3 linked regions of the Caenorhabditis elegans genome follow. The protein of the gene in region 2 interacts with the protein of the main gene of each other region in a pairwise test. Each region holds a gene or a part of one and is shown on either strand. Other genes may lie near its edges.

The links.
Region 1: the proteins of nfm-1 (region 2) and F59C12.3 interact in a two-hybrid assay, tested with the Caenorhabditis elegans proteins (one study listed by BioGRID).
Region 3: the proteins of nfm-1 (region 2) and F54D8.6 interact in a two-hybrid assay, tested with the Caenorhabditis elegans proteins (one study listed by BioGRID).

The regions. Positions count from the first base shown.
Region 1 is NC_003284.9:16,603,437-16,611,438, reverse strand, and holds the start of F59C12.3 (Angiomotin_C domain-containing protein), read left to right. Parts: upstream 1-1,914; 5' UTR 1,915-1,919; coding exon 1,920-2,082; intron 2,083-2,132; coding exon 2,133-2,267; intron 2,268-2,334; coding exon 2,335-2,392; intron 2,393-2,562; exon of another isoform or gene 2,563-2,787; intron 2,788-2,899; coding exon 2,900-3,005; intron 3,006-3,049; coding exon 3,050-3,154; intron 3,155-3,199; coding exon 3,200-3,315; intron 3,316-4,072; coding exon 4,073-4,170; intron 4,171-4,289; coding exon 4,290-4,432; intron 4,433-5,383; coding exon 5,384-5,569; intron 5,570-6,071; coding exon 6,072-6,181; intron 6,182-6,282; coding exon 6,283-6,385; intron 6,386-6,636; exon of another isoform or gene 6,637-6,729; intron 6,730-6,935; coding exon 6,936-6,996; intron 6,997-7,130; coding exon 7,131-7,221; intron 7,222-7,287; coding exon 7,288-7,347; intron 7,348-7,624; coding exon 7,625-7,736; 3' UTR 7,737-8,002.
Region 2 is NC_003281.10:6,157,658-6,165,190, forward strand, and holds nfm-1 (FERM domain-containing protein), read left to right. Parts: upstream 1-1,831; 5' UTR 1,832-2,221; coding exon 2,222-2,443; intron 2,444-2,573; coding exon 2,574-2,789; intron 2,790-3,135; coding exon 3,136-3,354; intron 3,355-3,430; coding exon 3,431-3,565; intron 3,566-3,612; coding exon 3,613-3,747; intron 3,748-3,822; coding exon 3,823-4,125; intron 4,126-4,168; coding exon 4,169-4,318; intron 4,319-4,419; coding exon 4,420-4,507; intron 4,508-4,979; coding exon 4,980-5,250; intron 5,251-5,361; coding exon 5,362-5,536; coding exon of another isoform or gene 5,537-5,548; exon of another isoform or gene 5,549-5,741; coding exon 5,742-5,957; 3' UTR 5,958-5,962; exon of another isoform or gene 5,963-5,969; intron 5,970-6,635; coding exon of another isoform or gene 6,636-6,686; 3' UTR 6,687-6,928; downstream 6,929-7,533. Other genes in the region: anmt-2 (Nicotinamide N-methyltransferase), read right to left, coding at 1-71; F42A10.9 (Gamma-glutamylcyclotransferase family protein), read left to right, coding at 6,995-7,086, 7,146-7,242.
Region 3 is NC_003281.10:5,101,175-5,107,585, forward strand, and holds F54D8.6 (C2H2-type domain-containing protein), read left to right. Parts: upstream 1-1,810; 5' UTR 1,811-1,816; coding exon 1,817-2,352; intron 2,353-2,401; coding exon 2,402-2,547; intron 2,548-2,985; coding exon 2,986-3,086; intron 3,087-3,137; coding exon 3,138-3,229; intron 3,230-3,281; coding exon 3,282-3,332; intron 3,333-3,377; coding exon 3,378-3,431; intron 3,432-3,480; coding exon 3,481-3,521; intron 3,522-3,575; coding exon 3,576-3,709; intron 3,710-3,927; coding exon 3,928-4,681; intron 4,682-4,767; coding exon 4,768-4,882; intron 4,883-5,157; coding exon 5,158-5,268; intron 5,269-5,323; coding exon 5,324-5,422; intron 5,423-5,489; coding exon 5,490-5,646; 3' UTR 5,647-5,846; downstream 5,847-6,411. Other genes in the region: Cuticle collagen dpy-17, read left to right, coding at 6,159-6,411.

The sequences.
Region 1 (8,002 bases), on a different chromosome or scaffold from region 2:
AATCGATTTCTTACTCGCGTCTCGAGAGGGGCTACTCAATCAACACATTTCTAACACTTGACTAAAAGTTTTACATGGTTTAACTCTTTTCTTTTTTGTTGATAATCTTTTATCAATAGATTTCAAACTTATATGCTATTCATAGTTCATTATTGAAGCTTCTAGTTAATTATTATGACATTGAAATATTTTTTTAATTTGCTATCACAAAGAAAGAAACCAATTGTCACATAGAATCAAAAAATTGGCATTTTCTATTCAATAACCCATATATTAAATCAATAATCACTAACGCATAAAATGATCCTAAAATACTTTTGATGATTTTCAAATGATTTGTTCAAGGAAACTTAAAGCAATTTATGTGAAAATTCGATAAAACTCAGTATCAAAGAAAAAATAAAATAAAACCAAATAAAACTAAATAAAACTAGGTAAAACTAAGTAAGTAAGTAAAATCGAAAAAGATTCTAAAATATTTAAAAAAATCAGAAGTCAAAAATCCAATTCTACAAGATGATAAACCGACGAATTAATTTTTGTTCGTAATTCCTAGAACTACTGTGTTTTTCATTGCAGTATTTCTTGCAATACCATTTTTTGACTGTTTATATTTGAAATTCAATATACAAAACTGGAATTTACGTAGGATTCAAACAAAAATGTGCACATTTAGAAACAAAATTATACGAGCATTTTGAAGACGCTGGGAATCATAGAAGATCCATGAAAAATACCATGGGGTGCAAAATTGATACAAAACATACCATACCTAAAATTATTAAACGAAAAACTACACATTAAATATCAAAATAGTTTTAAAAAAATTCGTCATATAAAACATATTCTCTTTCCTCATATTTTTGTTTCGAAGTTTTTGTTTCTATTGTTTATGTTTTCGGCTAGCTTCATCATATTTTGCTTTTCATCCTGCCCATTTGTTGTTCAGTACACATGATTCAAAAACAAAAAAACTGGAAAAAACAGCAAAAACATAAGTTTCTTCATTTTGGATTTCGACCACGTCAGAGATTAACACGGATAAGCCGCGATAATCAGAACTAAACTAAACGATTTTGGAAAGAAGGTCTTCCACACGAACGCGTGTAATTATATAATTAGGAACTTGCATTTCGGGTCAGGTCACTTGAAACCTTTTAGTGTAGTTTAATCGAAACTGCGTTTGACCGCCCGAGACGGGTTTGTGTTAGTTTTTTGTTGTTGAGTATTTGTGACTTATACCAGAAATTGTCACTTTTAGTTTGGTCTTACAGTTTAGAGTATTGGTATATTATCAAATTAGATTTAATTCAATTTTAAACTAATGAAAATGTTTCTACATTGTATGTATTAGCTCACGAAGTGTCTTCTTATCATTCGTAAAATTTGGGAACATGTTGCACTGGCAACAATATTCATGGTTTAGTTTTGTTTAATTTTTTTCCAGAATACATATAATTTTGTATCATTTTTTCATGTATTCTTGTGGCGTCAATGTGTCTCATTTTGGTTTGATCTACGTAGACCTACAAAAAATGCAGGAGTTCAGACGCAGAGTTCTCAACTGATTTTGCACGGTTAAGAACGCGCTGGCGTCAATTTTTTTTCGATTGAAAAACTCCCGCATTTTTTGTAGATGAAACCGTAATGCCTGACACCGTGGGCCTGACACCACGTTTGTATTTGCATTCAAAATATTCATTCATTCAAGATGTGAAGTTAAAATTCATGTTAGTATTAGCTTCATGTAGTTTAGTTGAAAAATGACCACGTGAGAATTACGTTATTGATTAAATATTTCTAGGTATGATTGCCATATTAGCACCCAAATAAATGTCTAATTTTTCTCACCTATTTTTTTCTCGTTCTACATTCAATCTTGATGATTCACTATTTAATCGAAACTAATCTCAGGGTGAATGAATCGAGGGGACGTGATAGATCCGCGCTCGTCGGATGGCACATCATCGGATCAGCGACGAGTGCATGCAGTGCCACCGACACCCATGTATCAGGGAGAGACGAACATTTTAGACTCACTTCTAAAGGAGGCTCAGTTGAATCCAAGTCTGAAAGCGAGTGGTGAGCAATATCGAACCAGGGGTCCTGCAATTCGAAAAACTATTTTTCAGTGATGAACCACCAGGCTCAAACAAAAAGCAAGGATGACGACGAGAAGCGGTTGCAGAAGATGCTCGAAAAATATCAGCTTGAAATGAACATGCAAAGAGCAAACAGCCGGAAGGATTTACATGGAAGTGCAGGACGTGCGTGTGACATTTTTTGTTTTTTTTCTGTTTTTGGTGGATTGATGAAAATAGTATATTATTTCAGCATCACCTATCAGTCATTCTCAGCCATGTCTTATTGCGAGTGGATCAAGATCGTCAGAGTAAGTATTGGTTTTATGATGTTTTTGAAACGTTATACGGTAAACTGTAAAATTTTTTTTGAATGTATCAATAACTTTATCCACAGTGTTTCCCACTATGCATTAATTTCAGCCACACTTTTTAAATAAGGAAATTTGTAGCATTTTTTTTTTCATTTTATAAAATTATAAAAATCGTAGAAAACATTTTGGTGAATTTAATAAGTAGTAAGTGACGAATACTGAAAAATTGCTAGATTTCTCTCTTTTTTTTTTGTGAATAAAAAATTCAAAAATTATAACAAGAGTTTCATTTTTATATTTAATCACTATATTCGTATGGAAAAACTTTTAAACAACTTCCGCACAGGTTTTTAGCTAAACGATTATCTAAAATTAAAACTTCCTACTTTCAAGTTGCATTTCAAAAAACAAACAAACTTTTTTGACAAACTCAACATTTTTCCTGAGATATTTTTTTTACAAAAAAAAGCTTGACCTTCTTCTTTTAAACATTAATAATTTCAGTATTCCCCCAAATGAATCAAAAATGAGCACATCTGCCTATCAGCGTAGGGCATCTGCATCTGGAGATCAAGCACTTGACGTCCCCACATTGAGCCAAACTAACAGAGTAAGAACTTCAACAAGCAACAGCAAAACAAACAATTATTTTAGGGAGTATCCAGCAACCAGAAGCTCATTCAAATTCTCCGCGAGGAGAATGTGCACTTGAAAAAAGAGCTCGACGCTTTCAAGCGCAGTCTTTCAAAACTACAACAGGTTTGTTGGAAGTTTCAAAATAGTGGGAAACCTAAATGCTTGCAGATTGAATACTCATATGCTCGACTGGAAAAAGAATACGAATACTTGGCAAATGAACGAAAAAAGCAAGAAAATTTAGAGCTGAACGTGATTATTCAATTGGAAAAGTCTGTAAAAAAGTAAGTTGGTTGAAAATCTTGTCGGTAAAAAGAGACAACAATTTTCTGATATTTATATCTAATGAAGGCAATATAAAAAAGTTTCCATTTAAAAATGAATTGAAAACTATTTCACAAAATTCACGAGCAGCACTTTTTTGTTGTTTGGGGCAAACTAGACAAACATTGAACACAACTAATATCATTGAAGTTCACAACAATAATGATTTGATTAAACAAACTTGGGCAAAATACTCTTCGCATTTGGCTCTTGCAACTTGCCCAAGTTTGGCCCAAAAAATCTTAACTTGGCTTAGAAGTTGGCTAAACTTGAGAAAAAGGATTGAGACTGCACCAGAGTTTAACCAAAGCCGAACTCTACTCTTACCCTACTTTAAACCCAACTCTTGCCAAACTTTGGCCCAAACTTTTCTTGTTTCGTTTCAAACTTTGGTAGAAGTCTGGCGAGAGTTGGGTGAAACTTGTGTTGAACTTTGGTGTAATTTTTGCCGAAGTCTTGCCTAACTTTTGGCCAAGTTGCGCCAATCCATGTTGATATTTTGTAGGACAAAGTTGGGCAAGAAGCCAGAACCAAATGCCGAGTAAGCAAAAAAAAGCTTATTTCATACAAAGTTTTACACGGGCATATTTTTCTGAAATTTTACAATATTTTTATTTTAAAAAGTTTATCCAAAAAAAAAACTGACAAGCGGCAATATATCAAACAAACATCCAATCAACAGGAAAATCCATTATCTTCTAAAAATCTTAGTTTCAGACTTACCATCGAAAGAGACGACTTGCAAATGCGGCTGGAAAAAGCAAGTACTGAACCAACGATGGTGGCGAACCTGATGTTAAACGAAATTCAGCAGAGTGAGGAGAAAAAAAGAAATAAATTTGATACAATAGAACTGGAAACAGAGAAGCAGAATGAGAAATATGAAAAAAAAAACGAATAAAATACTTATACAATTGATTTTTTTCCGATTCAGGGCAAGAACTCTTCGCATGCAAAGAGCGGCAAAAAATGGAGATTGAGGCACAGAATCAGACGTTGGAGGAGCAACGAAATCATATTGCAATGCTTGAGAAGGCACTCGCCAATTCACAAGAGAGATTGGCGAAGCGGGAAAAAGTATGGAATATTTGTGGGAGAATGTGCTGAGCGGAATGGATAACATTTCCAATTTATTTATGGGAAAATGGGGGGAGAACAAAAGTATAGGACCACAACAGTGTACTTTTGATAAAAGTGAACAGTTGTTTGGGTATTTTGTGAATATGGAGAATTTCTGAACATATAGACTAAAAATGTTTTCAAATGAACGAAATTCGTAATGAAACTTCTCCAAAAATTTAAAATTTTTTTTTCCTGACTGTTAGCTAAAATCTCTAATTTAGAATATTTTACCGTGTCGCAGTAGTCGGAAATTGAAGTTTTTGAATTATGATCTCACTTCGTTGATTATGGTACATTTAGAGCCCATTGGTGGCCAGGTTTGGTCACCTTTGGCCACTTTTTCGGTTTTTAAGGATTTTGATCAACATGACTTCATAACGAGACAACCCAAAAATAAATAAAAAATTGTCTCACTAGCCGGAAATCAATTTTTACTTGAAATAGATTTTTAACAGTTGTCTCATTTTTTTTGTTTTTGATGAGACACTCCAATTGATATAATAATGAATAAAAGTGAAACGCGAAAAAAATTTGCAAACTGACGTGGGAAAATAAGAAATGAAAAAAAACTTCCATGTGATACAAACAACAATTGAAAACGTGCTGTGTTTAGAAACATTCAGAACTTGTCTATCAATTTTTTTTCTATTTTCAAGGTAATTTTAAAGGCACTCAAATAGTTATGTACCATTACTTTTGCATTCATATTCAAAAAATATTGCGAAATTCAAATTTTAATTTAACTTTGCAATATACCTTGCACTTCCGGACTTCTCTAAAAAATGTTTTTTGCTTTCTTAACTTACATTAAAAATATTTTTTAAAGCTCCCAAATCAAAACTGTTTTCTTGATAGTACGTTATCTTTTTTTTGAAATTAAAATTCAATAAGAAACACTTTTTCTAGAAATGCGAAGAATTGTCCGCTGTAGTGGCACACGCTGATGAGCTGCGAAAGCAACTAAACGAAGTATGGGAAGAACAACATCGGAGGGATCAGATGGTTGAGTCGGAACGGGCTCAGTGGGAAATGGAGAAGACTCAGCTAAGAATGCAATTGAACAAAGACACATCACTCACTGGAAGTCTTAAGGTTTGTCTCGAAACAGGGAGAGAAATAGTAGTAAATGAAAGTAATGTGGGGTGTGCTAGGAAAAGGGGGGGGGGGGGCGACAACATTTGAACCGGTTCCCGATTATGGGGTTAAATGTCCGGTAATGAAAGTTTTATTGATATAGATCAGCACCGGTCTCAGTATTTTTTTTCTGAAAATTAGATGGGACGCCTATAGGTTAGTACATTTGAAAACGTTTGCAGAGGGTCTAAAGAGCGTCATCATTTTTCTAATATATACCATTAAAAAATGGAGAATTAAAAATTTTTCTAGCATCTCATAATTTTTTTACTGGAAATTAAAATTATAAACTATTATTATTAGTTTATCTTCTATAACAATCTTATCCTAGATATTGCCGTCTAAGCCGTCTTTGTACATAGTAGTACATAAGCCCTGAAATAGAACATGCCAGAACATCTATAGAATTACTCATGGAATTACTAACCACTACTCATTTGCATAATCATCAATTTTGCAGCGAACCACTACTCCCGGCAGCACAGAGGATCTTATTCGAATGCGAAAGAGCATTCAATCAAAAGACGACAAGATTCAGCAACTCGAAAGAATGGTGAACGATTTGCGAAAGTTTGTTTTTTTTTCTTTCTCTCTTCTTTTATTCTCTTCGTTTGTTGAAGAACTGAGCCGAAAACGGAAATGGAGAGCAGAATTGAAAAAGCTTTTTTTAGAACTCACGGTGACAAAACTGAGCAACGGAAGTCAACTCTTGCAACAATAACTGACAACTTTGAAACCCAGGTGGACAAATTGAAAGAGGAGAGTTATGAAAAGGTGAGGCAAGAACTGCTGCTAAATTTTTTATACAAAATTTAAAACAAGTGAAAACATTTATAAGGGATCTTTTCAAAAATAGAGACGTTACTTTTCAAGGTTACGTGTTTTCTCACAGAAAATGTTTTCAATAAATTGTTTAAAGTTTCCCAGTTGCCCCTTATACATATTAACATAATTTATTGTTACATATACTATATAGCACTAAATTTTCGGTCATAAACCCAGTTTATAAAAGCCTCAACAACCGCTCTCTTTCGTGTCCTCGGTAGTATAGTGGTGAGTATCCGCGTCTGTCACATGCGAGACCCGGGTTCAATTCCCGGCCGGGGAGAATCTTTTTGCCTAATAACTTTGGGAGTTTAATTCAAGAGAGTAATTTTAGATTGGTATATTTAATTATCGCGCCTAGAATAAATAAAAATGTTTCTGATATTTGATATACTAGAAATGAGCTTTATTTCTATTATAGAGAACATCAGAAAACACACTTTGAAATGAGCTCACAAATTACAACGGGCATATTCGATGAATAATTGATAAATTTTAGGATCTGATCATCAACGAACTGAGGTCGGAGCGGGACAAATATGCAGCAATGGTAGATAAAAGTGAGTATATGAAGCCCTAGTCGGGAAAAAAGAAAGGCAAAGGGGGAAGCGTCGACTGCATTTCTTTTGGCATGTGAAAAGAGCACTCTTCTTCCTCTCTCCTTTTTTTTCTCATTTCTTTTCTTTTTTTCCAGACAGCGGAGACGAGGCACTGAGTAGAATGGAGGAAATTAGACAGAAAATACAGGAAAGGAAGAAAAAAGGTCGAATGGGCGTGACTGGAGGGTAAGACGCAGTTTTATTAATTGCTCAAATAAATCAAATATAATTTCCTTAATTCCCATATTCCAGGCTATCAGAACATGCAAGAACTTCATCGGGCTCGTTGATGCAAAATTCTCTTCATCGGAGGTGAGACAAAAAATTATGAGACCGTTGTTTTTTCTTCCTAGGAAACTTTGCAAAAAGTACTCAAAATTTGAGTTTTCTGAACGAAAGCAAAACTACAGTGAATCTTGAACTTTTCTCTAATTGTAAGTTCCTTTTTAAGTTAGTTTTTGAGTATAAAATTTTCAGTTGAATACTTTCTAGAAACACACATAGGTCAAGCTGAAAATACTAGCTCCAGAATCTATTACGATTCGATAAACATCTTCAAAAGTAACAAACTATACAAAAAAAGTTGCAGATCATCATCTGGATCATCATTCGACCCTGTACCGACTGCTCCAATTCCTTACAATATGTTCAAAAATAGTAACAATAACAAGTCAATACTTGCGGATAACCAATTTTCTTGAATATTCCTCATGCACTAGTCATCGAAATTCTATTTATTATTTACAAACACGCTACCAACAACACACTTTCCTTCTTTGTTACTTTCTGTTACATGCATAATTCAATTTATTTTTCAATTCAAGTTTCCAAAGTCCATTCCTCTTAATACAATTTGTATGTAGTTTTGTTCTTTTAATTTTTAGCCAGTTTAGATGATGTACTTGTATTTTTTCCATCAGCTTCATAAGCTCATTCAAAAAGGCCATGTGTTTTGCTAGTTGCAATA
Region 2 (7,533 bases):
TCCTCAGGCAAAAGTACAGTATGCTGGGCATCCGATGATTCCGTAATGGTAGGGTCGATGAGAGTAGACATGACGAGGTATAAATAAGAGATTAAACGACACTGAAAATATTTTAATTTTTTTGAGTCCAAATTTTTGAAAAAAAAAATCAGAAATATAACAAGGAAACAAAGCACTTTTAAAAGTCTATGTATATCTCTATTTTCTTCCGCTTTTCACATGTTTGTTTTTCCCTCAAAATCTCCAAAATTCTTAAGTTTACTCCTTTTTTCCAGAAAAACTCTAATATTTAAGTGATAACACCCACGCAGAGTGCAATTAAATATCGATACAACAATTCATTATCATCATCAAATAACAAACAATTAACAAATGAGGCATCGACACTCTCGAAGTAGCACAAAAATTGAGTGAGGTGGCTCTTGCACAGAGAGCGAGAGCATAAGTGTGTGCTCTGGCTCCGCCTATTTTTTCGGAGCTCTGGGAGAGAAGGATAGAGAGAGAGAGAGGGAAGAAGGGATTTCCCGAGGCTCCCGGCAGGAAGTGTTGGGAGCCAGACAGTGGGAGCAGGCACAGAGTACGAAGAGCAAAGTGGAAAGATGGGAAACAACAAATTATGTTATGAGGAAGTTTTTTGGCAGATTGGTTATGAAACTTTGCAGAACTTTAATGCGTTACTGTAAATTTAAGGGAAAGTAGGTTCCATCGAGCGTACTTACGAAAATTGTACTGTAGCTCACTATCAGTACACTGTACTTTCGAAACATTTTTCTGGATTTCATCTTTCTGGAATTTTTGAATTTTCAATATGGAAAAAATGTACTTAAACTTCATTCGAAAATTATATGACTTCAAAGGAATAGGGAGGTTAATCGAAAAGTTACTGAAGTTTTCGAATTTTTGTTGGCCATTTTGCTTACACAAGTGCGCCCCACTTCACACTGATGTCTCTTTTGAAAATATAATAATAAGTCAATCGAAAAATACCGATTGTGTGAATTTTTCTATACTGTCCCTATTCCCCCTTTCATCTCCCCCCATTGACCACTTCTCCCCATCCCCTCCTCCTATTATGCGTAACACCCGGCATGTCTAGGCCACGAAAGTTGTGGTTCGTCGTGCAGTCATGTCCGAGTGGTTAAGGAGATTGACTAGAAATCAATTGGGCTCTGCCCGCGTAGGTTCGAATCCTGCTGACTGCGTTAAATTTTTTTCAATTTTTTCGCACATTTTTTTCGTTGTAACTTCGAAATTGTACAAAATGAAAATATACTTGATAATAAACCAAAACGTGCAGTCATGTCCGAGTGGTTAAGAATGTCCGAGTGGTTAAGGAGTTTGACTCGAAATCAAATGGGCTCTGTCCGCGTAGGTTCGAATCCTGCTGACTGCGAATCTTTTTGAATCTCGTCAGTCGATGTAACTTTTGTATCGAAACCATTTGGAGAAAAACGATGGAGGAGGAAAGGGCGTGTTGACATTATTTTATTTATCGAAAAACTGAAAATTCTTGTTCACACGAGACCAGGCCACATATTTTCACAATGCGTCATATCAGTTGGGGGCATTGAATCATTGTTCTTCAATATTTTTATCAGTTATTCTTCAATGAATGCACCTGGGATTCCATACCTATCATCATTATGAGTGTTGAAATATTGTTTCGTCCTCTCTTCCAATCATCTTCTCTTGTTGTTAGTTCCAATGCCTCTCCTTCCTCTCATATGTTCTAACACTTCTTGTGAGACAGACAGTTGGCATAGAGTTCCTCGACGCAGATACCTATACAGTTACAACACTATTTGCCCTGGGGCGTACTTACATTGATTTTCTTCACTTTTCTTAACTATTTAACATACTTTTTTTAAGATGGGCTTCATCTCATTATTGATTTTTCACCCTAGAGAAACCAATTCAGTACTTCGGAGACTATAGAACTTTTCTAACTTTCCGAAGTTTTAAACGGAAATATTGGAATCCACGTTATTTTCTAATTGCCTCAAACTGAAACTATCTGAAATTTTTATTTTCAAAGAAACTAAAAAAGCAATTTTAGTATCTGAATTTTTGGATGTTGTTCTTACTTGACGGAAAGAAAATACGTGCAATACGTTCATGTGCAGACAACGGTCTTTTTTCAGAAATGAATAATAGTTGCTAGTATTATTTTTTTCTTAAACTTCCAGGCTAATTTCACCTACAAAAATTCCAAAAAATAGCAATGGGTGGATTTTCGATATTTTCGCGAAACACGAAGCCCATTTACGCAAAAGTGAGCACAATGGATGCTGATTTGGAGAAGATTGTAATTGAGAAAACATGGACAGGAAGACATTTATTTGAAGCAGTTTGTCGAATTATTGGATTACGGGAAACTTGGTATTTTGGACTACAGTTCACAAATAAAAAGAATATTCCATGTTGGTTACAGAATGATAAAACTGTGAGTTTTTGTTGAATACATTTTTGGGGATACGGTATTTCCAACAATAAAACCAAATTCTAATTATCAAATTAAAATATTTTGGGAAAAATAATTTCTCTGAAAATAATTAATTTTTGAAATTTTCCAGATCTGTGGCCAAGACATCCAAAAAGACACATCTGATGGAACTTTTAATTTCTTATTTCTTGTCAAATTCTATCCAGAAGACGTGGAACCTGAGATTATTCTAGATGCCACTAGACATTTGTTCTTTTTACAAATACGAGAAGCAATACTTTCAATGAATCTATATTGTTCACCTGAAGCAAGTGTTTTATTGGCCAGTTTTGCAGTTCAAGCAATGGTAAGATTTTTGTATTTTAACTGGGTTTTACAAAATATGAAAATGCCATTTAAATTCCTTTATTGAACTTTTAAAAGATCGTCAGTTGAGAAAGTGTTTAAAATCACTCATAAAATTTTTAATATATTTCTGAAAAATTGAGAATTACAATATCGAAATTTACCAAAACTTTTGCTGTAAAATTTTGAAAATCTAAAATTTTCAGAAAGGATATTTGAAGAGTATTTGAAAATCCCATTTTCTTCCAGAAAAATTGGCAAAACATTTTCAAGTGCCTGAAAATGTTTCTGAAAAACTATCTATATACACTTTATTCAAAATCTAGTAAAAACGAATTAATTTTCAGCATGGCGACTGTACAGAAGAAGTTGGTCCAATTGATCTTGACAAGCATTTACCAAAAAGTGTGATTGATCAATATGATATGAGTGCTGATATGTGGAGAGATCGAATAAAACGATGGTGGTCACGGAATGCAGGACAATCAAGAGAAGAAGCTGAACTTGAGTATTTGAGAGTTGCACAGGATTTGGAGATGTATGGAATATTATATTATCCTATTTGTGTAAGTTATTTGAGAGATTCTGTTTGAACGGTTGTGGACATTTGAATTTGAGATACATAATTTTATTTATTTTCAGAATAACAAAGAAACTGACTTACATCTTGGTATATCCGCTCAAGGGTTGGGAATCTATAAGGGAGTGAATCGAATAACACCTCGGCCGTTTTTTAGTTGGAGTGAGATTAAGAATATTCAATTTAAGAATCGAAAGGTAATTTTTTTAAAATTTTCTTTTCACGATTTCCATTGTACGTTCAGTTTCACATGAAAACCGTCGACAAATCCACAATATCATTTCGATCACGAGAGACATCAATTGATTCTTCAATATTGGATCTTTGCATTGGAACACACAATTTGTATTTAAGGAGGAGGCAGCCAGACACGTTAGAGGTATGTGTCTTTTATAGTAGGGCAACTTGAAAATTTCTATTCAGTTTTCTACGAAATGATAACTGTATATTTCAGGTTCAACAAATGAGATCACAAGCAAAAGAAGACAAGCAACGTCGAGCAGCAGAACAAGCAAAAGTTGCATTGGAACGAAAAGAGAGGCAGCAAATGGAAAAAGAATATAAGGAAATGAAACAAAAAGTTGAAGTGATGACTTTGGAATTAATGAAAGCTCAAGAAAATATACGAAAGGCAGAAGAAGCGAATGATCAATTAGCAGAGAAGGCACGACACAGTGAACATGAAACTTTGATGTTGTACAAGCAAAAAAGTGAAGTTGAAGCTGAATGTAATCGATTAAGTATGAATAATATGAAGGTAAAAAATCAAATTAATTATGAAATTAAAGTTTAATTTTCAGTCCGAAGAAGCTCTGTTGAGAATGGAACGAAAAGCTCGGGAAGCTGAGATTTTGGCAAAGCAGATGTCAATGTCACTAGCAGATGTAAGCCTTGACGCGAATCGGAAAATGACACAGTATTCGAGTCAGTCTGCGTTGATTATTGATCCGGTAAGTTAATGGAAAATCTTCCCATTTTGAGTAAATCTTGACAAAACCGTAATGGGATTGATAGAGGATATACTCGATTAATACGGTTTAGAAACTTTCAGAATTGGCATCAACAAGTATCTGGTCATCAATCAGGTCATCCTGGTATGCCATCAACAGGATCATTTCATCAACTGCAATCACTTGACAGTTAGTTTTTTTAAAGGCACAATAAAAAAGTCTATTCCAAAATAGTATAGAAGTATAATATCTATAGCAACTTTTGCATGATAATTTTGGCAATGGGCGTAAAACTATGTTTAAAAGTTAAGAATAAAAGTTTGCCGAGTCAAAAAAGTCTAGATCACATAATAAAAACCGACCCCCTAATCAGTTTATCGAATTTTTTTTTGATTATGTAACTTCAACATTTTCTCACAGCCAGGTATTTGCAAAGTTGCCTCAAAAAAGAGAACACTAAAAAATATTTTGGTAATGATATTATAAATTCAAGATCTTCAAATGAGAATGTGTCTAGTTGTAAACTAATTTATTGTTTGTAATGCCAATTTGGGAATGAAATCGCAAGCCAAGTTGCTACTGTTTTTGACCAATCCACGTCTTGTTAGAAATAAGAAATAAGAAAAATATGATTATATTTATACGGAAACAACATTTTCAGCACACACTCATCCTCAACAAATGATGTCTCGAAGTCTGAATATGCCATCATCTGCATTTTCCTCCCCAATTCCTTCAAATCAACCACTTTCTCATCAACAACCACAACAAATGTCTCAAAATACTCAAGCTCATCAACAACAAACTCAAGTTCAAAATCAGAATCAACCGCCATATTACGGAGGATCTGGTATGATTATTCCACCACCCGATCCTTCAATTAGTCAGATTTTCGAGCAACAGACTACTCTGATGGAGTTGGAAAAATCAAGGTTAGTTTGGTAATTAAAAAAAAAGGATAACTGAATTATATGCTAGCAGAGTTGAGCAATGGAGGTACAATCCTAATAGAGAATAGTATGTGACATTAGAAATTTTTTCAGGTCAGAATACGAAACACGAGCGCGAATCTTCAAGGAGCACCTGGAAGAATTACGTGGCGATATTGACGGCCTGAAACGAGACGGTAATGTACAAAATGGGCAGCATCGAGAGCATGATGCGGTTCATGCACAAAATGTGGCACACGGTTTTGATAAGTTCACGACGATGAGAATGGTAAGTAGATAATTTAGCAAGTTCTGTTAGCATGCTACCGTTCTGAACGGTTACTAAGCTGATCTCATGATCAGAAGGTCAAAAGTTCAAAAAGTTATTAAATCTCTTTTTCATCCTATTCTATTATATGTTAAGCTTCTAATTTATTAAAATTTCGCGCGTTTGGCATTTGTAAGTTTGACGCTTAACTTCGGAATATCTCCAGAAAAAATCAAAAAGCGCAAGCTCAATTGGCTCATCGGGTTCCTCCGATTCCTTGGAGCTCAATACTGTCGCTAGACATGTGGCGGGACGAGGGATTCCACGTGTCTCTACAGTATCCACTACGAGCTCGTCAAGTATTCTGAGCCACGTCATGATGCTGCATAGACAGCAGTCTTATGATTTGGGAAACACTGAATGGCAGGAAGCTGACATTTGAATATAGTGAGAAAATAGTGCCAGAGTTTGATTGTTGTGTGGTAGAGCGTGTTTGCATATTGACTAATTTTCCAATTATTGTTTTCTAACACTTGTTGATTGGTATTTTTGTTAGAGTTGAAAATAAACATTCATGGTTCAAGCGCTCTATGAATAAATTCAATAATATGCACACTGTAATTGTTTTTTTTTGACTTAAAATTTAAAAATCAGGAATCGCAACAATGAACGCAGCGCGAAAAATATTTCTTAGAGCGCAATCGTTACGTCGGGTACTGACACGAGATTATTTTTTCCGCTACAGTATCCAATAGTAGACGTTCCATCGTTTATTTGGAAATTCTTTTTCTTGAGTTTTTATGTTTTTGTAGTAAACCTATTCAGGGAAAATAAGATTTTCACAACAAAAACTCGAAAAATTTTTAAAAATAGAAAGAAACAAGAAAAAGCAAAACCCAGGGTACGGTATCTGAAAAGTTTCGCTCGCGCTAAGACTTTATTAATTTTATTAATTGATTCAAAAAATCACACATTTTTTAGTGAAACTATATCTTTGAATTTCACAAACCTGTCCGTCGGTGTATTTTGTTGTGATTTTTCAAATTTTGAAATGAACATTAGTGTGGTATTGATTGATTATTCTTCTCATTTTCCAATTATAATTTTCTTATAATTTCAGAGTATGCGAGGAACTCCACGACAACGAGCACAAGCTTTTGATGGAATGTGATAAGAAACTTTATGGCCATTTATGAACCGATTTTCCTTTTTTTTCTTCAGTTTTTCCCCATCCCGATAAGAGATAACCCCATTTTGTGCTCATTCAGTTTATTGATTTTTCCACACCCTTTTGCCATTTTTCAATCAATAATCTTTCGTGGCAAGACAAAAACGCGTATTTTTCTTCTTTTTTCCGAAAGGCATATTGTGTAAATATACATATCGAATGATTGATGAATACAGATTTTTTTTAAATGTTTTTTTATTAACTTAAAATAATGAAAAAATCTGTAATTTATTAATTCATTTCCAGCAAAAATGGGCGAAAAATTCAAGGTTTTCGTGTATGGAACCCTGAAAACAGGAGAGCCAAACTACAAGGTTCTGTCAGAAACTGACGGAGAATATCGGTAAGTTCGGGAGTACTGAAGAATTTTGAGTGTCAAATGTGATGCATTACTTCTTTCAGATTCATCTCATCTGGAACTACAGTGGAAAAGTTCCCATTGGTAGTTGGAACCAAATATAACATTCCATTTTTGCTTGATGATGCTGGGAATGGAAATGTGAGTTTTACAACCTGAAGTTTATTTAAACCGACGTACTTTGAAGCATATTGACAAGTAATTAAAAAAAAAGAACGAGAACGGAATCAGCTTTGGCAGGGAAACAAAGATGAATAAGGAAATTTTAAAGAAAGAAACAGAAAAATGATTATGCGCACGGTTTAAAGGGAGTATAAATGCCAAAAACTTGTTTAGATCCGAAATTTTTTTGGTATTCAAAATCTTTGAAATTTTTTTCTTTCCTTGAATCCGGGGACTGTGACAGGGGGAAACTAAAAATTGTAGGGGATG
Region 3 (6,411 bases), 1.1 Mb from region 2:
ATTTGGATGATCATCTACAAAATACGCATTGATATCTCAACAAAGGGGTTCTGAATGAATTTTTGTGTAGGCAAGAAACGCTCGCCTGCTTTTAATTCAAAAAATGGATAGTCTCAGGTATCAGGTACAAAAATTCGTCTGAAGACCTGAATGCCAGGGAAGTGTAACTTCTGGTTTTAGCAAAGTTAGCTGGTTGTACGGAATTAATTCAAATTAGTTGAGAAACAGTTGAATCGCCGAGCCAAAATGCAGAAAATAGGTGGTAGGCAGGTATGAGGAGCCTGTAGATATGCCTGCCATCCATGCCCTAAATAAACGTTTTGAAAAACTGCATTTCCGCAAAAACCGTACATCTACTTTGATCTCTCCATTTCCAATTTTCCATGTGATCATCAGTAGCTAGTCAAAAACAATTTACCAAAAGATCAACATATTCTTCAATTTCTCTATAGACTTTCAAAAATCAAACGATTATTATTATTCGTCTTATCATTTTATTTTTACCAGGGCTATGATCACCTTTTTTCTGTATCAGAATTCAAAAAATCAAACTTGAATCGGAAGTGAATGGAAATAAGTTTGCAGGGATTGAATAGTTACTACAACAAATGTTAAGCAGACTCTTACAATAATTATATTAGTCTGTAGACATTCCACCATTGAGCTGTCAAAGAAACGAAGCAGACAGAATTGAAATGTTTAATAACTAGATAAATAAACAAATAATAATCTCATGTATTACAGTTTAATTGATAGATAAAACATAATCATGCACTTTTAAACTTTGCAAATGATAGGGCTACAGTACCCATGATGTCAAACAAATTGCAATTTTTCAATTTCAAAATTGATCAACTATTTCCTTTAAAGGTTTCTGATCACAAAGAAGAAAATCACTCGTATTTTGTACCCGGTCTCGACGCGACAATTTTTTGTAAAATGCGAAAAAGTATGCGCCTTTACAGAGTAATTTCAAACTATCGTTTCGAATTTTCAGAATGCTTGACATTACAATTTAATTTTTAATTTTAATTTAAAGGCGCACACCTTTTCGAAACTAACAAAAAATTAGCGTGTCGAGACCGGATACCGTATTTTTTTTCGCAAAATTTCGTTTCTGGGTTATATGACTTCAATAACTTATAGATACAAACATCAGAAGCTTCCTAGACACAAAATACAGAAAACACATGTTCACTCTTCAAATATACATTTTTATTGTTCTTCCTGTTTCATTAAAAGTGTAAAAACCGAGATGATGATGATATTGATAGTGTGAGATGTAGTTCATAATGATGCTACTAGATAACATCAATGATCGCATTTCACAGATCTACAGCTGAATTATCACCTAATGTAAGCAACGAATATTGCGATTATTGCTCCAAAAATACGGTACCCGGTCTCGACGCGACAAATTTTTGTTTAAAAAAACAGGTGCGTCTATAAAGAGTACTGTAATTTCAAACGTTCGTTTCTGTAGAAATTCCCGTCTGGGACAACAACTTTTCGAAATCCTCGAATAAAAATGTTCAATTTTCTGTTAAAACAATTAGTAGGTAATCTGAAAAAGCCAACAAACAGAAAAGAAGAAATATTCCGAAACTCTTTCCTTGTTGCACATTTTCCAGTTTCTGTGTCTCCGAAAACTCCCATTCCGATAGGCCAGTGCAAGTGCGCTCCATGGCTCTACTGGTTTTCTTCAATGAAACAATTTTATTGATTTCAATATCGTTTCTTTCGTTTTTTTAGTGTTTAATCATATTTTATTCATTAATTATTTAAAAATAAATATTCAAATTTTATTAAATTTCAGATGGAAGAAGAAAATACACCGGAAGTCCAATTTGAACAAGATGAAAACGAGGAAAACACCCTTCAAATCGTAGACAGCGACCTTGTCATCGAGAACTCTGTCACGGAGAATGTTCCCTCAGAAAATCAAGATGTAGAGATGGAAATAGTATCCGATTCGGAAGAACCTCTAGAACCTCCTGTGCCGGTTGCAGTGAATTTTGAAGAAGCACCAGTAGAAGAAGTTCCAGGGGAACAAGAAGCAGTGCTGGTCGAAGAAGAAGAAGAAGAAGTACCTGCAGAAGCAATTGAAAAATCTCATGAACAAAGAGAATCCTTCATGGAAATGTTTAGAATAGCTCCGAGAATTCGAGATATTCTACCAGATTTGCGCGTTTTTATGAGCCATCCGGACGTTTTAGACGAAGATCGGAAAGAAGTTGAGGCTTTAGTAGAGGCAAAAATTCAAGATGAAAAGGCGAAAAAGAAAGCTGAAAAGGTATCGAAGAAAGAAAAAGAAGTTGAAAAACCACCAGTGTCATTGGAAGAAGCTGTTAAGTAGGTTTTTTTAATGCGGAAATTGAAAAAAAAAACAAATATTTTTCAGAACTGTTACCGGAATAGATTTGGCCGCAATACTTCAAAAAATTCCGAAAAATCCTCAACAAATCGCCCCTGTTACAATACCTCCGCCTGTGGTTATGCCTCCGCCTATCGTAATTCCAGGAATGCCAAATGCTCCAGCTGTTACAGGTAAAAATTGAAACTTTTTTTTAAAAAGAATCACAAAAATGCCTCAAATTGGTTCTGTGAAGCTTCAAAGATCACAAATTGTCATCTAATTTGAATTTCGCGCGAAAATGAGTTTTCTATGATACTCGACCGTGTACTCCTCTCGGACAATTAACGAATTAAACTTTTAGATTTTAGACGATTAAAAAAAATGTTTTAGATTTTTTCCATCAGCAAAACGAAAATGATCATATATCCATTTATTTATTTTGAAGCAAAAAGCCGTGCAAAATCATCAAAAACAACCTAAAATCATAAAAATTAATTGATTAATTACCCGAAAGAGGTAAACGGCTGAGTATCAATCTCAAATTCGACTATACCACATTAAAGAAGGAGTTTTTAAAATTAATATAAAAATCTTGCCGCAGAGAGAAAATTTTTTAATACTTTTTTCAGAAGTTCTGAATCTGGTTTCACTGCCGTTAAATGCCAAACCCGTGCCAATCCCAATTGCGTCTTCAGTAATAGCACCCAATTATGCAACTGCGCCACCGATTGTGAGTTTTTTTTTCTAAAAATGTTTTTTTTTCGAATTCTCAAATTTTCAGGCTCTGACAGACCCGAACGTCGCTTCAATTGGACACGGAAAAGCTGGATTTTCTACGCCTCATCCGAATGAAATTCCAATTGAACTAAGACAGTATGTTATTTTAAAAAAAAAACCTTTATTTTAAATATATCTATTTTTTCAGTTCCAAACCAGACATGATTGCTCCAATTCCAGATGAGCTAAGAAATCTTGGGTATGTCCAATTGTATTGAAATTTCTTAACAAAAATTGTTTTCAGTGCCGTTCCAGTTGTTACTTCGATTCCTACAATTCCTAATGAGTTCCTACCTCCGTAAGTGAAATTTCAATTTAAAAAAGTCTCTACAACAAACATTTTTCAGAGAACAACGAATTCTTGGATCGTTACCACTCACTTTTGTTCGTAAGTTTTCCGTGTGAAATATTGAAGAAAAAACTAATTTTTCTCCAAATTAAGGTCCTCCGATGCGGAAATCCCTGTTTCTCTCTGGTGCAAGATCAGGAAAACGATGTGACAGAATTAAAATGCAGAGAAAGAAGGATAAAAAGGAAGTAAAATTGGAAAAGAAGCTGGAAAAGAAGTCAGAGGATGTAAGATATTTTTAAAAATTTCAGAAATGTAGTGATTTTGCTTTGAATTGCACAAAATGACTACAATATTACAAAGAAAAATGTTTTTTAAAAAAGTATATGAGAAGTTTTGGTTCAAAAATGTCGAAAAATCCATTGAGTGGGGAATGTTCATTCGGAAAAAAAAATATAATGACCGATTGTGCAATTTTAGGCCTTTTGTCAAAAAAAAATTTCAGTCTCTGGAATCAGTGGAAAAACGGCCCCGTGGCGGACATAGAGGTCGAGCTGGTGCAGGCAGATCAAGCTTTGAAGCAACAGGAATGAATGCTCTTCCTCAAGGACTCAACAAGAATTCTCCGCTTGCTGTTAAACGTTATCATGCTCGTCAACTTGCCAAAGAAACTGGAATGACATTGGAAGAAGCTATGGAAGAAATTGAAGAACAATGTAATGCATTTGGAGGTGAAGATACTCCAGAAGCAATTGAACACGATACAAAACTTATGGAAATGATTAAGAAACGAGGTGATGAACATTGGAATCAACGACATAATTATACACCTGTTGATCATTCGAAAGGAATTCCTGGAGTCGATAGACCACCTGGTGGTAATAGGGATCGTGGTGAAAAGGTTCGGAGCAAGTCGCCAGTTACAGGAGTTGATAGACCACCAGGTGGAGACAGAATTGAACGAAGTAGGGATCGAGAACCGGGTGGTGGTGTTCCTGGGGTTGATCGGGCGCCAGGCAGAGGATCTCGTGGAATCGATCGCCCACCTGGAGGTGATTCTCGTGGTGTTGATCGACCACCTGGAGGTGGAGGAATTCCTGGAGTAGATCGGCCACCAGGAGGTGGAAGGCGCGGAGTTGATAGACCACCAGGATCTGGAATGCCTGGAATCGATCGGCCACCTGGAGGGGATCGAATGGGTGATAAGCAAAGAAGAGGAGCGAGAGGAGGTGTTAAGGAAAGAGAAAGAAAACGAAGAAGTAAGTTTATTCAACCTTTATTCCACGAAAATTCGAAATCCTTATGTTTTTTTTTAAATATTTTTAAATAACGCTTTATTTTTCAGGAGATGAATTCCAGCGAGGAGGTGGTGGTGGTGGCCGAGGCGGTGGCCGTGATGGTGGAAGAGATTATGGTGGTCCTCCGCAAAAATCTGGGCGACGTGATCGATATGATGATTAGTGAGTTCAGCAATGAGCAGAGATATAAAACACATTGAGAAAGTATACGAAAGCCCCTTTTTCTCAGCTATCTCGGAAAGTAACTTTACTTTCAATTGAAATTTTCGAAAATTTGCTCTAAAACTGACTCAAATAATGCCGATCGACACTTCACGACTTTGAGGCAGTTTGTCAAAAACTTCTCGAAGCCTTCAATTAAACATAAAAAAGTATTTGTGACTATTCGCGTTTCGAAACCCCAAAAAAATTTCAATTTTTCAAAATCTCGATTTCAGCGATCGATCGTATCAAGGAACAAGTGGATATGGACAAGATTATGATTCACAAACATATGGAGAACGTGGTTACGATGGACATTATCAAGGACAAGAGGATTATTATGGAAGGTAATAAAATTAAATATTTTAAAATGAAATTAATTAAATTTAATAAACGTTTCAGTCAAGAAGGATATGGAGAATATAATCAGCAACACTACGGTGAAGGATACGATCAACAAGGATATGGGCAAAATGGAGATTCATATTATGGACATGAAGGGTAAGGAAAATCACTTTTTTAATTGTTTGAATTGTATTTTTATTCAAAAATAATTACCTATTTTCAGCCAAGATGCATCGACATATTACCAAGAAGATGGCAGTCAATACTACAATCAATACTACGGTACTGCTCCTGCAGAAGGTGAAGCTTCAGCTGTAACTGGAACGGATTATCATGCAACATTCAGTGTACCACCACCACCGGCTCCCCCTCCGTCATAAATTTAAGAATTGGGAAAACTAAATATTTTTGAATCAAAAAACTTCCTTTTTCAATATTTTCTTCAATTCTTTCCCGATTTCTTTCAATTTCAATAGTTGACTTTTATTTATTTTTAATTTATAAAATTTCTTATATTCTTCTTCCTCCTTCTATTGTATGAATATTAAAAACAGGTCCTTCGACCCGAAAAATCCCCTTCTCAAATCTAGGTCATCATATCGGAGATAACGGACAATTATGCATAATATTCGAGATGATTATCATATCGGTCATATGAGGGGGCGGAGTCTCGCATACAGTAGTCCTTTGTCCTTGTGCGAGGGAGTTTATGAGTATAAAAGGGTCCCTGAGAGAGGAGAAATGGACACTTTTATCAAAACATTTTCCATCTTTGTTTATTTTGACGATATTTATTCGCTGATACGAATTTTTGCAATTTTTATCCCGGATACCGTATTTCTTGGCAATTCAGATTACGCGCAAATTCTAGAATAAACATGTTTTCCAGATCATGTCAGTGTTCGCGGGATATGCCGCGTGCACCCTCGGTGCCGTTTCGATGCTTCTCTGCGTCTCTCTTGTCCCACAAGTCTATCAGCAAGTCTCGATGCTCCGGGACGAGTTGACGACTGAAATGGAGGCATGGCGTCTCGAGTCCGATCAAATCTACATGGATATGCAGAAGTTCGGACGTGTCCGTCGTCAAGCCGGAGGATACGGTGGATATGGTGGATACGGTAGCGGACCATCTGGACCATCCGGAC